Regions from separate parts of the Mus musculus genome. Here regions 2, 3 and 4 are each reported to be linked to region 1. The links are microRNA targets in miRTarBase. Many come from high-throughput screens and were not tested one by one. Region 1 holds a microRNA gene; each other region holds the end of a gene's coding sequence.
What was found. The annotated mature microRNA mmu-miR-344b-3p reads CAUUUAGCCAAAGCCUGACUGU and lies in region 1 at 2,433-2,454, shown strand. An mRNA with a match to its seed (bases 2 to 7 or 8) in the 3' UTR can be bound and repressed. Matches are read on the target gene's strand: a 7mer-m8 pairs with bases 2 to 8, a 7mer-A1 pairs with bases 2 to 7 and ends in A, and an 8mer does both.

Region 2: miRTarBase lists Ppp1r1c as a target of mmu-miR-344b-3p. Seed matches in the 3' UTR shown: 7mer-A1 at 1,649-1,655.
Region 3: miRTarBase lists Nkain3 as a target of mmu-miR-344b-3p. Seed matches in the 3' UTR shown: 7mer-A1 at 3,021-3,027, 7mer-m8 at 1,623-1,629 and 7mer-m8 at 1,078-1,084.
Region 4: the mRNA of Sh3rf3 is a reported target of mmu-miR-344b-3p. Seed matches in the 3' UTR shown: 7mer-m8 at 1,356-1,362.

The regions. Positions count from the first base shown.
Region 1 is chr7:61,788,825-61,792,975 of GRCm38, reverse strand. Mir344b (microRNA 344b) reads left to right here and starts at 2,395; the gene lies at 2,395-2,457. The region is part of intron 6 of A230057D06Rik (RIKEN cDNA A230057D06 gene); the gene reads left to right.
Region 2 is chr2:79,807,628-79,811,627 of GRCm38, reverse strand. Ppp1r1c (protein phosphatase 1, regulatory inhibitor subunit 1C) reads right to left here. Exons shown (of 5, transcript NM_172420.4): 5 at 888-3,326. The coding sequence ends at 3,238. Among named protein-coding and RNA genes, the nearest start is that of Ppp1r1c, 100 kb to the right of the region's middle.
Region 3 is chr4:20,118,992-20,122,991 of GRCm38, forward strand. It overlaps Nkain3 (Na+/K+ transporting ATPase interacting 3), which reads right to left. Exons shown (of 6, transcript NM_001290410.1): 6 at 1-3,665. The coding sequence ends at 3,652. Among named protein-coding and RNA genes, the nearest start is that of Ggh, 79 kb to the left of the region's middle.
Region 4 is chr10:59,135,306-59,139,305 of GRCm38, reverse strand. It overlaps Sh3rf3 (SH3 domain containing ring finger 3), which reads right to left. Exons shown (of 10, transcript NM_172788.3): 10 at 390-3,486. The coding sequence ends at 3,318. Among named protein-coding and RNA genes, the nearest start is that of Gm23223, 58 kb to the left of the region's middle.

The DNA of each region.
Region 1 (4,151 bases):
TCATCCTAAAACAGAAATCATTTATAGTTGTAGACTTTAGATATTATCTGGTGGCCTTTTGCAAAGTCTATTTGATTCCTTTAGATTCTCCCTTCTAGCCTTCTGAGAGTGAACAAATATAGGGTCAGAACTGATGGTTAGTTGAGCTACAATAGAAACAAATGAGCAAACTGTAGCAGCAAGGCAAGCATTGCATTACTGAGAAAACATCAGAGGAAGAAGTTTTGTGACTCTTAGAATGATGCATCCATAGGAATAGCTGATAACATTTAGGGTATGATGATATAGAGATAGATACCAAGCTGAAAGTGTCAGGGAGAGATAAAGCAAAGGAGAAAATTAAAGAGTTGGTGTTTTTCCATTTATGGTGAGTACAGCGTTAATCAAGTCTGAGTAATTTCATAATAGCTTTGCAAAACAGAGAACATTAAAAATAATTTATGACTCCAAATATATTGTTTTAGTCTGCTAACAATCTACTTGCTTTAAAGAGTCCAGTTTAAAATATTAATTATCCATAGTGCTATCAGTGCTGAAACTTGATTTCACAACTTGTTTTGAAATCTGTCCCTGCTACCTGAATGAAGTTAGCATATGAAATTAAACTGACTATTCATCATAAGAATAGAGGGATTTATACAGCTGATCAATATAGAAAAGGATTATTGCAAGCAACTCATATTCTTCTGATATTTCATCTAAAAAATACAACCCTTGAAAAGTTAAATATCAGAAAAAATAATTTGAAAAGTTCTGTTCTTAGAATGAGACTGTGTTGTCTACCAATGAAATAATAAAACAATTAAGTTAAACATATTGAACTTACAAGTTTGTTCATATGTCAGATATGGTTTTATTTATCTTATTCAGTTGTTAAATTTTCATTGATAACTATTGTTTATTCAAGAACTATAGAAGAATTCTTCATAATCTGTTTTCGTATTCAGGATAGCATTTTCACATCATTTTGTGAATACTATTGTAGCTTTCTTAGAGGGATTACACTGCCTTCTTTACAAAATTTTGCAGCAGTTACTGCTGAAACATTTATATACATATTAATTTTGGGGTTATAGTTCAAGCTATGCATGTGTTGTATTTATCCCTGTGTTGTTCTTGTAATATATGCCATAGATTTCTGTTAAAATCTCACTGTGCTGCCCATTGTGATCCAAAATTTATCAGTAAAGCTATGCTTCCCCTCAGCATCATAAGAATCTCCCAAATGCAGATGCAGTCCACTACACCCAGCTGATGGTCTTGTAAAACAACCTGCTTCCTGACATTTGTATTTTATTTTACATTGCTTTTCTATAAAAGTCTATTGAAAATTTATGTTTTCTTATTTCGTACTGGTTTGTTAAAATTATGATTAGAGGTAAACATATTTTTTCTAACTCACGATTTTTTTGTGTAAATGATTATGCCCTTTTCAATTTTGAAAACTATCTATCAAAAGCCAAACATATTTAAAAAACAGGAATGCCTAGTACTTATTTTGCCTAATGACTACACTAATGATGCCTTCCAAGATAATGCCCAAAGGATATGGCAACTATTGATGTCCTTGGATTATTTTAAATTTCAGGTATAATGTGGCTTTTAGAACCTGCATTTGTAGTATTTCCAACTAAGATTATGAAATTTCATTTTGTAACTCATACCTGAATGTTTTTGTCCTGATCAAAAAGGTAGATAGGAATTCATATTTTTCCTCTGTATATTTTGATGAACATATAGAACATGCATGTTAGAAACCTTTCTTTCAAAAATACAAAAATGTCCTAAATTATTTCTCTATCATTATGACTCAGAGATATTCAATGTTAAATAAGTAGATTTAGACTATGGCTTGTGAAGAACATTTCTATTTACATTTTAAGCACCCTTATATAGGTCATTATAATAGACATAAATATATTATATAATCATGCAGATCATCATGGAATTTGGGGAAAAGGAAAAGGCAGATGAGAAAGAATCAGCAGACAGCTTCACTTGGTAGCCCAGAGTCAAATAATGAGAATGCAAACAGAAATGGATTTTTTCTTGTAGATCGTCAGGATCTATGATAAAATAATGAGGTACATGATCAGCCCTCAAGCAGCACTGGCTGATTTTGTCTGTTATCAATTGGAGGCAGAGCTGAGAACAATTTTTTTCCTGTTTTTTTCCCTTTCTATCTCCTTGCTTCTACTGTAACACCCAGGGGGAAACTAGAGGTACATGAATCAGCATGTCTGATGGAGATCTCCATGGTGACTGCAGGCACTTCCTAGGTTTGAGATCTCTTCTCTCATTGGCTCTTATCATTCTCTATTTGAATATACGTACTTCTGATTGGAGAATCAGAAGCAACTAGAGAAAATAAAATTCTCTGCAGCCAGGATTTTCATCAGTCAGGCTCCTGGCTAAAGTTCAGCTTTCAGCTGCATTTAGCCAAAGCCTGACTGTAAGCTGCTCCAGACAAGGATGGTTGCTTCTGAAACCAGGAGATAGAGGCAACAGAACCCCAGCATAATCAGGTGTATGGTAGGATTCCCTGCACTCCTGTGCTGAGTCACCTGTACCTGTTTACTATGAAGGAAATGTAATTAAGCCTCTAAGTTGTTTTCCTCGGTTTAAGATGTGTCATAGCTTCGTCAGCCTTAAGGAAAAGGATGATGATTCATTTTGCGCATCACTTTCTGGCAGGTATCAGGGATATGCCGTTCCTTTCTCTCCCTTGTGGAAGACACTGTGCTGAATTGCTCTGGCAGGGTCTGTTTTTAAGTGGCACCATGATATGCTCTGAGAGCTTCAAGATGTAACATTTGAAGACACTAGAATATCTCTCACCCAAGGACCACTTGGGCAGATAAGTATAATACTTGTGATCTTACTTCCTATTATCCTGCTGCTATCAGAGGTCTTAGAGATTCAATTTTTTCTTTTAATGAACTAATTAATTTTAAACTCCAGATTTTATTCCCCTTTTCCACCCTCTCACTAATCCACATCCCATACCTTCTCTCCTCCTTCCCCACCCCGTCTCCATAAGGATGTCCCCATCCACCACCCCAAAAATACCAGACCTCTGAAATCCCTGGGGCCTCCAGTCTCTTGAGGGTTAGGTCCAGCTTCTCTGACTAAACCCAGACCCAGCAGTCCTGTACTGTATATGTGTTGGGGGCCTCATATCAGCTGGTGGCATGCTGCCTGGTTCTTGGTCCAGTATCTGAGAGATCTTCAGGATCTAGGTTAATTGAAACTGCTGTTCCTCCTACAGGATCACCCTCTTCCTCAACTTCTTCCACCTTCCCCCTAACTCAACCACAGGAGTCAGCAGCTTCTGTCCATTGGTTGGGTACAAATATCTGCATATGACTCTTTCAGCTGCTGTTGGGTGTTTCAAAGGGCAGTCATGATATGTCCCTTTTTGTGAGCACTCCATTGCCTCTGTAATAGTGTTAGGTCTTAGAGCCCCCTCTTGAGCTGGATCCCACTTTGAGCCTATCACTGGATCTTCTTTTCATCAAGCTCCTCTCCACTCCCATCCGTGTAGTTCTTTCACACAGGTACAATTATGGGTCAGAATTTGTGACTGTGGGATGGCAATCCCATCCCTCACGTGATGCCCTATCTTTCTGCTGGAGATAGGCTCTACAAGTTTCCTCTCCCCACAATAGGGCATTTCATCTAAGGTCCCTCTCCTTGAGTCCTGAGAGTGTCTTGTCTCCTAGGTCTCTGGTACATTCTGTAGGGTTCCCCAACTTCCTACCTCCCGAGGTTGATTGTTTCGATTCTTTCTGCTTGCCCACAGGGATTTCAGTCCTTTTCACCCATCCACTACCTGTTCATGTTCCCCTCTCCTCCCCTCTTTCCCTTTCCCCACCCCATGTCCCTCCCTCCCCTCTTGTGGTTGCTTTCTTCTCCCTCCCAAGTATGACTGAGGCATCCTCACTTGGACCCTTCAGCTTGTTGACCTTTTTTTAGTTCTGTAGTCTGTATCTTGGATTTTCAGCACTATTTTTTTTTGCTAATATCACTTATTAGTAAGTATATACTATGCATGTCCTTTTGGGTCTGAGTTACATCACTCAGGTTGATATTTACTAGTTCCATCCATTTGCCTGCAAAACTGAGGATATCATCATTCTTAATGGCTCAGT
Region 2 (4,000 bases), not on the chromosome of region 1:
GGGGGAAATGATGATATTTGACCTAAGAGAAGAAATTGTCTGGGAGGTGGTTTCCTGATGCATGAGGGCTGGCATAGAAGAGGAGATAGAGGGATGCTAGAGTCTTCAGTAAAGAAGAAACGGGACCATGCAGGGGCACATAGGCTAGCCAGTCTAGCACGGCGATGCTAGTTTCATTGATGAGTTGATACAGGGGCAGAGTTGCTAGAGAGTGAGTGAGAGCTGATCTCTAGAACCCACAGTCCAAAAGACTAGTAGCTATAATACATATACAGAGGACTGGTGCAGACCTGTGCAGGCCCTGTGTGCAGGCCCCAAAAGACTAGTAGGTGAGGATCACGCAGTAGGTGAGTTCATACAATAGGTGAGGATCACACAGTAGGTGAGTTCATACAGTAGGTGAGGATCACACAGTAGGTGAGGATCACACAGTAGGTAAATTCACACAGTAGGTGAAATTTTCACATACGTTTTCAGAATCTTTTCTAGCCATGGTAGCAGTGCCCACTTGGCTAATCTAAGCATTTCATAGCTCATCATATAAGTCTCAAAAACAATGAAGGTTCAAATTGAATAAACTTATTTTGCAAATGGAGATTTGGAAAACTGAGACTAAGACTTGATAGAGGTTGAATTTGAATCGTAGATGGGGTGACTCAAAGCCTGTCTATTAACCATCATAACATCTTATGAATGAGGTTTGGCAAATACAGAATTTGAAGGGGTCTGCGTCAGTCAGTTTCTTTGCCTGTTCAACCAAACTAAAGCCATACTGTCTCCTTGTGGGAACAGGCTTTCAATGTAGACTGTAACTGTGTGAAAAGGAAATTGAGAGCCCACTATCTCAGCTCCAGTCTCCTTCAATTATGCAAGAATGACACACATTTCCCAAGAAAAACTTTAAACTGTAATTGATTTGTTTTGAGAGTGGACCAAGGAACAGAAGAAACAACATTCCCCCAGGAAAACATGCATCTCATGGTTTGATACCATTAACAACAGAGAGGAAAAGAAAGCAGCTCAAAAGTCAGGCTGCACATGTCCTAAAATGATAATATGATATCAGGGGGAGCTTTGGATCCTTCCTGTTTACCTAAGGTGGGGGAGGGGTGCACTTATAAAAGTGTATATTCAAGGAAAGGGAAAAGGTGACTATTATTTTGTTTGCACCCCAGGGAGTCTCAAACACTCTCAAAGGGTGTCAGGAATGTTTTGAAACAAAAAACTCAAACACATTTACAAGAAATATGAACCTTAATGATGTTCACAGTAGAGAAGAATTTGGGAAGAAAAATAGTCACGGCAGGTGGCAATAGACTCTAATGGTTTATTGATTTATCAAGGACAACATAGAGAAAAGAGAGAAAGAGGAAACAAGGAGGAAAAAGAGGAGGAAGAGGAAGACAGATAGAGGACAGGATAGACACTGGGCAATAACATCCAGTCTTGGGATGCTTCTCACTGAGTGAAACTCATTTCTACTGCATTTGTTAATAATTTCACATAAACTCTTATTTGCTACATTATAAAATTTTAAATTAAAAAAAAATCTTATTCTTTTGGATTTGCACTTTAAGATTTTATAGTAAATTTCACATTTTAATTTTTCCTTCCCTTCTTAATTTTCTCTTAGTGGATTTTTTATGATTATTTAGTGTGTGTGTGTGTGTGTGTGTGTGTGTGTGTGTGTGTCCCACATTCTAAGGTGTGTAGTAAAAGTGAGAGGCATACAATACATCTCATGAAGTAAGAAACAATTGATTCTCTCCTCCTGCCTGTGGGTTTCAGGGATCTACTAACCTATCAGTTGGTGACAGGCGTTCTTACCCACTGACCTATCACCAACCCCTTGCTTTAATGGCTTTGGATGGATATTTCTTTACATCTATGAAATATTTGAATCTCATTAAAACCAACAGTGTAGAAACAAAACTATCTATCTCCACTAAATTGTGCATTCCTATATCATGAATAATTAAAATTACCCAATGGCCAGAAATCTAAGTTAAAGTCATACTGACAAATACCCATTGTCATACAAAACCTTGCTGTAGCCCTATCTCCAGAGAGAAAATAAGCTTTCCTTTATCTTTATGGCTTCCAAAAGAGTAATTTCCTAGGAAAAAACATTTAAAATCATTTTTGATATGTATGTTACAACAGTTAATGAAAAGAGAGGCGACAACTTTGAAAAGGGCTGAGGGGTAGAAAGGTTTACTGAGAAAGGGAAAGATGGAATGTTGTAATACTAATCTCCAAATAACAGCGATTTTTTTTTAACTCCACAAAAAGTAGTTGTCGAATTAATGGGTGAGTCTATGGCTGAGTTTTTGAGATATTTCTTTTTATTCTATCACAGAGAAGAAGAATAAAACAGTCAGGATATATTAAACTGCAATAAGACTGAGGAATATTTGCATATACAAAGCCCTGGGTTCATTCTCTAGCACCAATAAAACAGAAAGAAACAATGAAAAACCCAGACAAACAAAAGTGATACAATATAGATGGCTTCGTTTTAAATAGTTAAAAAATAATAATAAAGAAAAGGCAGAAGAGAATGGCTATGTTTACTTACAAATTTAACATTTCCTTTCCAATAACTAGATGATGCTGAGAAGCCAACATTGAATGGCTTAGAAAATAAAGGGACATTTGTTTCTTTAAGTAACTGCTGGATGGAAATCATGTAACATCTGATGTGGTGTTTTGAAGCCAGACAACAGATGTCTGCCTATCACTGTCTCCTTGAGGTAAACTGGGGTCTGATGTAGGGCACAGAAGCTTGCTAAGTGCGGTTATTACTTAGGAGCCTCCGCAGATGCCCGTCTTCCATTAATCCCCACTCACACTCGTCCCACACACATTTGCTATTTATTTTGTAATGCTCTCTACATTTGACCTTAGAATGTAAATTATGTCGTAGGCCAGGAGGACTTAAGCTTTGGCAGTATCAAAGTGAGAACATTCATGTGGCAGCAGATTCCTAGGTGTGATGAGTTGAAAAGAAAAGTTGGGGTAAAGTAAGTGCCTATTCTTTACTGCAAGTGGTACACAGCAATCTGCACTCGGTTTCACAGTTCAGTCAAGGGGGCTTCCATGGGGATCACACTGCTGTGGGGGTGGGGGGTGAGACAGAAGAGGATGCTGGAGGCGGAGCTTTGGAGTACCAATGGATATTCAGAAGAGTACACAGTCCAGTTATTTCCAAGAAGCCCTCTTGCTACCGATGGGTAATTAATGGTTCCACTTCTCTTCTCTTTCACTTGCACTTTCTTCTTCTTCCGGGAACGCTGATCCATTCTGGTCTTTCAGATGCTTAACGCCTGAAATTATAAAAAATTGTGCAAAATGCAAATGAATTTTATTTCTAGCACATCTATCCACTGCTTTGCTGAAAGAGCTAATAAAAATGTGGAGTGGAAAACTTTTCCGTGTGTGTGTGTGTGTGTATGTGTGTGTGTGTGTATGTGTGTGTGTGTGTGTCTGTGTGTGTGTGTCTGTGTGTGTGTGTGTGTCTGTGTGTGTGTGTTTCTCCAAGAATCTCAACGATGTGTCCTACATAAACCATCTCATTCACTGAGGACACCCAGACAAATTTCCATTAGAGACAGAGTGTCTTTCATAACTTCATCTTCTCCTTCAAGGATTATATCACAGTCTATGAAGGCCCTGTTATTATAATTCTGATGTATCATTCAGGAATCATTCAATGAAAATAATGCTTTTGCTGTCACTGAATTCAATTACAAGGAGGGTCTTACAAAGTCAATACCACAGGGATGTTTGCCATTTTTGTAATGTATAAACAAAAAGGAAACAACCACAATATTCTTAGCCTTTTTTAAAATTCATATCATACCTACTGGATTATGGGACCCTTTTGTTCAAAATTCTTCAATAACTAGGCTGCGGAGTGGAAGAGCCTGGACACATAGCTTTGCTAATTTCCTTTGCTTGGATGATCTGGCCTCTCCCTGCCTGTTGAGCCTCATTTCTC
Region 3 (4,000 bases), not on the chromosome of region 1:
GGCAATGGTTAATTCTCTGTGGGTGCTGACTCCCTGAAAGATCCCAGGATTTAAGAAGGTTTATCCACCATGAAGAAATAGCCTTTTCTCTAAACTCTCTTCAGGAGCAAAAGAGATACCACTCACAAAACAAAATGTGAATTTTTCTAGTCTTCCACTTTTCAGATTTCATTTTCTTAATAAATACATTTGTCTGATGTTTAAAATGTACCAACTTCCTTTCTGAGTGGCACATTACTTAATCACACAAGGAGTAATGCTTTCCATTGGTTTTGCTCTTGGATAAAATATTCTTATTTTGTAGCCTTATTTATAACAAATATTTAAAGTTGACTTCTGGACACTTAAAAGACTCCTTGACTTCAAAATGTTATAGACCACTTGCTTATTGAAAATATGTTTTGTAAGTTTGGAAATTTAAGGTTTCCGAGTCTTTAAAAGACAAGTGGGCATGTGTGAGCTCAACAATGGTGTCAGAAGATCAACAGTCACTGAAGCGAGGACCACACCAGAAGCCAGTTTTTATTTCTTCTTGCTGATGGGTATCCACGGAGAGAGTAGAGAAGCCAGGTCTAAGGGCCTTTTCCAAAAATCCAAGTTTGTAAACATTTCATTGGTCAGTAGCTTTGCTCACAGCTTGGGGCTAGTTCAGGAACACATTAAGCCACCCTGGAGTTAGCTCATTAGTGTAGAAATATCTGTCTTGGACTTGGTTTCATCTGAGCTGCCCATGGCCAGTCCATAACACATCAGTTATTTGTATTTTTTCCTACTTTATTCATCCAACTCTTGAAAGAAAGTGTATATTGTTTGGGCTAAAATGTCAAATCAGAACACCTGAATTCTAATCAACCTATAAAGTTTTTTTTTCTGAATTCCTTATTAAAGTGACTCATAAGTGATAAGTATTTACTTTAAAAACCACACACTCAGAATCTCTGTTTTCCATAGTGAGACTATTTTGGGAACATAAAATTTAAGATTAAGTAAAAAAAAAAAATGAAAGTCTGTTTTATCTTGGCAAGATTCTAATTTTCAGAGACAAAAAGTGCAATTTTGGTTTTTACTTGCTCCTCCATTTAGCGGTCATGATGTTTTTTCTCGCCTTCACAACACACATTTCAGTTGATTTTAACGTAGACAAATTTCGCTTATCAGAAAAGGGCTGTTCATTGGATGAAACAGGTAGCCAGTCATTTTGCTATATCCTGTCAGGTTGAGCTACTAAAAGATAGCTGCCTCTGTTATTTGGGCTTATGGGAACAGCGAGGTTTGTTTTACCAAAGGGATAAGAAAATGCATCAATATATTGCTAGAACAAGATGCCATGTTATCTTCTAAAAAAAGGTGAACCAACCACATTCAAGGTTTAGAGTTGTATGAAGACATGTTCTTGTTTCAGGGTCACACCCTCACCCTTTCTATGGTGGTAAAAAGGAGGCTAAGATCATTGGAGAACATACTCATATAGTTTTTCTCTGATATGGACTGCTCCATGCTCAAGCCACTTCATGTCCGAGAGTTCTCTAATCCTTTTATCTTTCTGCCTAACTTTTGCTGGCACATGATTGGAAGTTCCCATAAATAAGCTGATGCCATCCTAGCTCTTGCATTTCCACATAATTTAGCTGGTTGCTCCAAGGAAGAGTAAGTCATTCATTCAAAAGAAGGCTGTGCCTGGAGCCAGGTTGGTCATGAGTGCAAAGACTTGGTGCCAAGACATGGCCTTTGTGTTATTCTTCTACACCCTGCCACAACCCTGGTCTCCTCAAATGGGAGTTTGATGGCACCACCTTTCAGGTTCCAAGAGCTCCCTGTCATTTAGAATCTAGGTTTATTCTGTAGGAGAGAACTCAGTGGGAGTACCAGCTAAAGGACAGGATACAGCCTAGTACATGAACTTCGAGGCATTAGGGCAGAGGGGATTGCATTAAATTCTGATAGCAGACTCATGAAATCTATGCATATAAGAGGGAGAAGAGGGAACAGAGAGACTTCCACAAGCATACAAAACTTTGTACCAATTTCAGTGGTTTATGGATGCCTTAGAGATATGTGAGCTGCACTGGACTGACTCTGGAGCAAACAGTGGACAGACAGAACTGTGATGAAGGGAAGACTCAATTTTTGTGTGTGTACAAAAGGACCAGAATGGCTTTTCACATGAGAACTAAGGCAGAGACAGGAAAACAATGTGGTGAGACAAATACCTGCCTTATACGGTGAGCAGACAGTTCATCAGCGATGCAGTTAAACCTTAGCAGTGAGAATCAACATGGATTTTATCCATCTACTTGGCCACTTTACAATGGCCAGGTATTTGGTCAAAACCAGTTTACATCAGCAGACTAAGTCAAGCACACTGCAATTTCTAATGTGGTATTTGTTGGGGATCAATGGCATCATGGAGACCAATGGAAAAGGGGACCAAGGAAGGTTCCTAAAGGGTCAGACATGTTCTGTATTTTGGTTGAAGCACTGCTCATTAAGTTTGTGCACTTCTCATTGTACCCTTAAAAACCTATGCATTTCACCATATCTATATTTCATTTGAATCTAAAAGGCCCCAGAATTGCAATACTTTTTCCAAGATGGACCTATTCTCCCCCTTAGAAAATTAGATTTTCCACTTAATTTTCTTGATTATTGGGATGAATGGGGAAAAAGAAAGAAAAACTGATGTAACTCAGGCATAAATATTTTTGTTACAGATCTCTATAGAGAATTCTATAGCATTTGAATGCCCCCTTTGAATATTCAAAACGTTCCTGACTACAGATTTATGGCTGTGATTTCTGTCCCACAGCCCTTGAGCTGTATGTATAGGTCTGACATCAGTGGTGAGAGTGAAACTAAGAGCAGAAAATACGAAGCTCACAGCCAGCCAACTCCCTGCCTAGGAAGGGTTCCACACATCATTCTGGGTTTGTACTCAGTCATAATATAAACACGCACATACATGTGTGTCTTGGAACATTGCAAGGACAAGAGATACACGGATCTGCACATTTATATCGGACTATTTAGAGATTGTGCACTCTTTAGAGATTCAGAACAAAGGGCTTCATGTTTTGTCTGTGTCTGGTGCTGTTTAAACAGTGATCTTTGCTAGGTTGGAAAGTTAGATCCAGTCTTTGTGCAGTCTGCCACAGGTCTACCCTTGTGTCTGATGCCCAAAGGCAATGTCTGTGTATACAAAACCATTAGCTTAGCAGGGTTCAGGGTCCAGTAACCTGGATGTCACAGCTCAATAACACAGACAATCCTCTTAGAAATGACTTGGAGAAGATTTTCATAGATTTTTTTTTTTCATTTTGCATGCCTCAAGTTAAATTAAAAACAATTTAAAACCATTTTTTTTACAATTTACAAGTGCTTATATAAGAAGATGACTTTAAAAACAAAACAAAACAAAACAAAACAAAAAAAACAAACCCACCCAAGCACCCAGAACGCATCTAGCAAACAACGCTAATGTTACACAGGCTGAGACCAAAGACCTCGCAGCTCCGTGTTCGCTGGTCTGGTCGGCAGGGGGCGCAGTCCTGCTGTCTAGGAGGAAGGTGACGCTGTAGGATCCCCAGAGCTAGAGGCCAATGGTGCTTTGTTCCCTAACTCAAGTCCAGGAGCCGCATTTCAGAGTCAATGTCATTACTTATTTCGACCTGAAAAAGAAAATATAAATTGCTTTAAAAAACTCCAGTGCTGATAAATGAAAAGCCTGTCTCTTTCTCCAGGCTTTTTGAAATGCAAAGCAATTTAGGGTGGGCCTGCTTCTCTTGGACCCAGGAGCTAGGAAGGTTAAAGGCTCAGCTCTTCTGCTTTCCAGATCAGTTTGTGGCAGTCCAGATAGGGAGACAGCTGACAGCCACAGGACTATGGGATGAGGTGGACTCACTGTCTCGGAAGGGAAGGCACTATATATCCCCAATTTACTAGCCATACTCCCGTAGCCTCTTCATGATACCGGTCTTGGTCTGAGAAAAATCGTGGACCTGGC
Region 4 (4,000 bases), not on the chromosome of region 1:
TATCATTGGGGATGGGCTCTGAGGTGTCATAAGCCATGCCAGGTCCAGTCTCCCTCGCTCTCTGCCTGCAACTGAGCTCTCAGCTTCTGCTCCAGTCCCATGCCTGCCTGCCTGCCTGCCTGCCTGCCTGCCTGCCTGCCTGCCTGCCTGCCTGCCTGCCTGCCTGCCTGCCTGCCGCCACGCTTCCTACCATAATGATTGGGGATTACCACTCTGAAGCTTTAAGCAAGCTCCCAAGCGTCTCTTGGTCATGGTGTCTCTTCACAGCCATAGACCAGCAACTAAACCAACACCCTCAGTTCAGTGCCCCCCCCCCAGGGCCTGAATCCCAACCTCTCAGGCTCACGCCTACCCCACCTGCATTGGTCCCGTTATTGAGACACACAGCCTCTCCATGTTCATCTTTATTTAAAGACTCAGAAACACAGGCATCAGAGATGGCCACTACTGTCAATTCATCTAAAATCACACACTGACATTGGTGTATAATAAAAACATATGTGGGGTTGGGAGCACACGTGTGCACGTGTCTTTCTGTCTGTCTGTCTCGGTGTGTGTTGTGCAAAGTACAAGGGCTTCCACATCTACTGGGCTGATTTTGGGGTGCTCCGCCTTGTATTTACGCCTCACTATGGACCATCTTGTCTCTCGAGATCCATCAGTCCTCTGGAGGCTAGACTGTCCTGTCTCCTTGCTGACCGTCTATCTGAAGGGCTGAGAACTAAGGAGTGAAACCCACGTGGCCACCAAATACAAGTGTATGAGTAAGGGGCACATGCTGCTGGCCAGGACGGAATGTGAAGGTTCTAGATGAGGTGCTGGCTTCATTTTGGTGCCACAGACGTGTGTCCTCAAGGGAAGATGACCTTAGGAAAGGTACCTCTTTTCTGTCATTGGCTGTGGAAAACATGATTTTTGAAGGCTCAAGGGCTTGGGAGTGTTCAGAATACTCAGACCATGGGGTTCATTGTGTGTCTCAAAAGCCCCACCTGAGAATGAGCCCCAGGGCCCTGCTTCCCTCCCCATGCTGGTCGCAGTGTAAACTTTGCTAGGAGAGGATTCAGCTGATGTTTTCCACGGTACCTTGATGCTTTCCTCTGCTTTCTGTGAGGCTGCTACTTCCTCTATCACGAGGCAGCCAGTGCAAGAAAGGAAGACAGTTCCAAGTGAAGTCTGTTCTGTTGACTCAGAGTTGACCTTGTTTAGAAGGGAAAGGGACTTGCTTCATTGTCTGGGATCTGGAGTTAGCTCTGGTTCCACTGAAAACATGCCTCACCCAGGATGTAGATCTGTGTTACCTCCATGGTGGCAGCACGGAACCATACCTAGATCTTTTGTGCATGGATGGGCAAGTCATTTAGCAGTGACACTGAGTAGATATCATGTGGTTGTCACCGAGCCTGCATACAGGGGTCCCTATGTCTGAGATAGAGCGTCTCTTTGGCTCACAACAGTTTTCTATGTCCAATAAGGGTGCTATCACCTGGGGGAGGGTGAGACCGTCTGGGTGTGATTACATCCATGTGGTAGCCACCCGGCAGTCACAACTAGTTAGTCATATCCCCAGACAGAAACGTTGAGCATAAGTGCTCTTTATTTTATTATGAAAATCAGTGATAGCCTCTGCTACCAAAGACTTGATACAGGGCTGCATGATTTTATAAAAATGTACCCAGAGGCTCACAAATTGCTATTTTTTTTGAGAAATTTTTGAAAAAAAAAAAGTGTTCTTAGAGTGTGACACTCACACCTCCTGATAGCCATCAGGCTAGCCTCCTGGGCAGCAAGCTGTTGTGACAGTGAATATACGTAAGGCCTCAGAGTCAGAGACCAGCCCTCATTCCTTTCCAGCGTCTGCAGGCCCTGTAAGTCTATAGACAAGCATCAGGCTTGTGTTATCACTGTACCTTTGGTCTCTAGCAGATGAGTTTTGCCTGGCCTCAGAGGGCAAGCTATTTATTTTTGAAAAGGAAAAAAAAATCCTTTGCAAGAGAGTGGATCTGAGCTGTTGTAAAAGCTGCATTTTGGTAGAAAGACGTGCTTTCAGAATGCTATTTTTAGTCATTCTCTTTAAAGCAATCAAAGGAAGCTTCTGGGGTCAGTGTGTGTCTGTGTGTGTGTCTGTGTGTCTGTGTGTGTGTATGTGTGAGTGTGTGTGTGTTGTCTATGTATGTGTGTGTGTCTGTGTGTGTGTGTGTGTCTGTGTGAGTGTGTGTGTTGTCTGTGTATATGTGTGTGTGTCTGTCTGTCTGTGTGTGTATATATGTGTATGTGTCTGTCTGTCTGTCTATGTGCATTTTCTGCCACACACAAAGGCAGAACCCACTCCTTCATTTGTTTCCAGTTTTTTAGTCATAGCAATCACTCTCATCTAGATGGAGCTTGTGGGTTAGCTATTTCCAGCCGTTTGGGAAGACGCTCCGACTCCATGCACCCTCTCCACAGACCCTCCCTCTCGCTGCATGGAGCACCAGCCAGCATTGTGATATTACAGATAGGAATTCCTCAATATGCTCCAAACTTCATCTGGGAAATATAGAAAACTTTCCTTTGATGTTACTTCTTTTTTTCCCCCCTTGACACTTACCCAGGTTGGTTTTACAAAAAATCAGCACCAGATGTATGAAAAATATGCAGCGTCTGACCTATTAGAAATATATAAAGTCTAAGAGTTGTACATTAAAAAGGTGTGCCGTAAGAAGGAAGCAGTGTGAAGACAGCGGCGGAGGAACTGGACGGTGCACCTCATTATCCCAGTAGGAGACAAAGACAAGAGGGTTCTGCTCCAGTGCCCCACAGGACCCCACTGGACACCTTGGGAGGCTCACAGCCCTTCTATGAGGCTCCTGAACCATGAATGCCCTGGCGGTGAGGCCTGGTGGTAGGTGACAGAGGTATATAGAGGAATGGTACCCAGGGCAGGCAGGGAAGATGCTCTTCTTGCTGTCAGCCCTAGCACATGGCCCAACTCTATACCCTCCCGGGCTCCCAACCTTACACAATAACGCTTTAGCCGCTGGGTGACAGAGCAGCGCCTTTGTCCATGTGGGTAACATTTTCTGTGCTACTGCTCACTCAGACTCATGGCGTGGTCTTGCAGGACACTCACATGTGCTTCCAGTAGGATGTCACATGAGGATATGGCCTATCTTCACAAACACGCCATGGCCCATGTGTGCTTCCAATAAGGACTTCACGTGAATCATCGGCTTGTTTCTGGCCGGTGCTTTAGAAAGAACCTCGCTCGGACTTTGGTGATAAGGCGGGCATCCTCTGCTCTCTCCAGGACAACAGAAGCTAGCCATGAGCAGTGGTCCTCAGAAGCTCTCCACAAAGCTGCCTGGGAAGAGACCTGTGCGGCCATTCCGCTGCAGTGTCCCCTTGAACCAGCCGTCTTCATGCTTCTTGTGCACGAAGACGATATCACCTTCCTTTAGCTCGATCTCCGCTTCACTCTGTGGAGGGTAGGAGACCACCACACGGTACCTGGGAGGGCAGAAGAAACTGTGTGAGCAGAGGGGTGGGCTTTCCCTCTAATCCCCCGTAGCCCACAGTGAGCTCCCTATCCCCTCCGCCCCTCCAGTAAGTTCTTACAGTGTGCCATTACATTTTATGGTCTGTAAAATTATTTGTAAAATTTCCCAAAGCTCTTTACCTTGTCATCTAACCTCCCTTTGAACAGTTGTTGGTCATGGAGGTATTCAGGGGCCTAGAATAATATAGGCCACTGCCACTGTCACTGTCTGGCATCAGAGCCAGGCCATGGAACTGTAGCTCTAAAGACATCACAGGCTCCAATTGTGGAACATAGGGAAACCAAACTGAAGTAGGTAAGGAAGTTTCTTCCCCATTGGCTAGTCCTCCATATTGCGAGGCGCTGCGCCATGCAGGATGCTGCAGGGAGAATGGTAGTCAACAGCCTGACTCACTACACTACCAACTGGGCAAGCCAAATGTGTCAACTGGTACAGCAGTGGCAAACCTACCAGCCAGTGGCTGG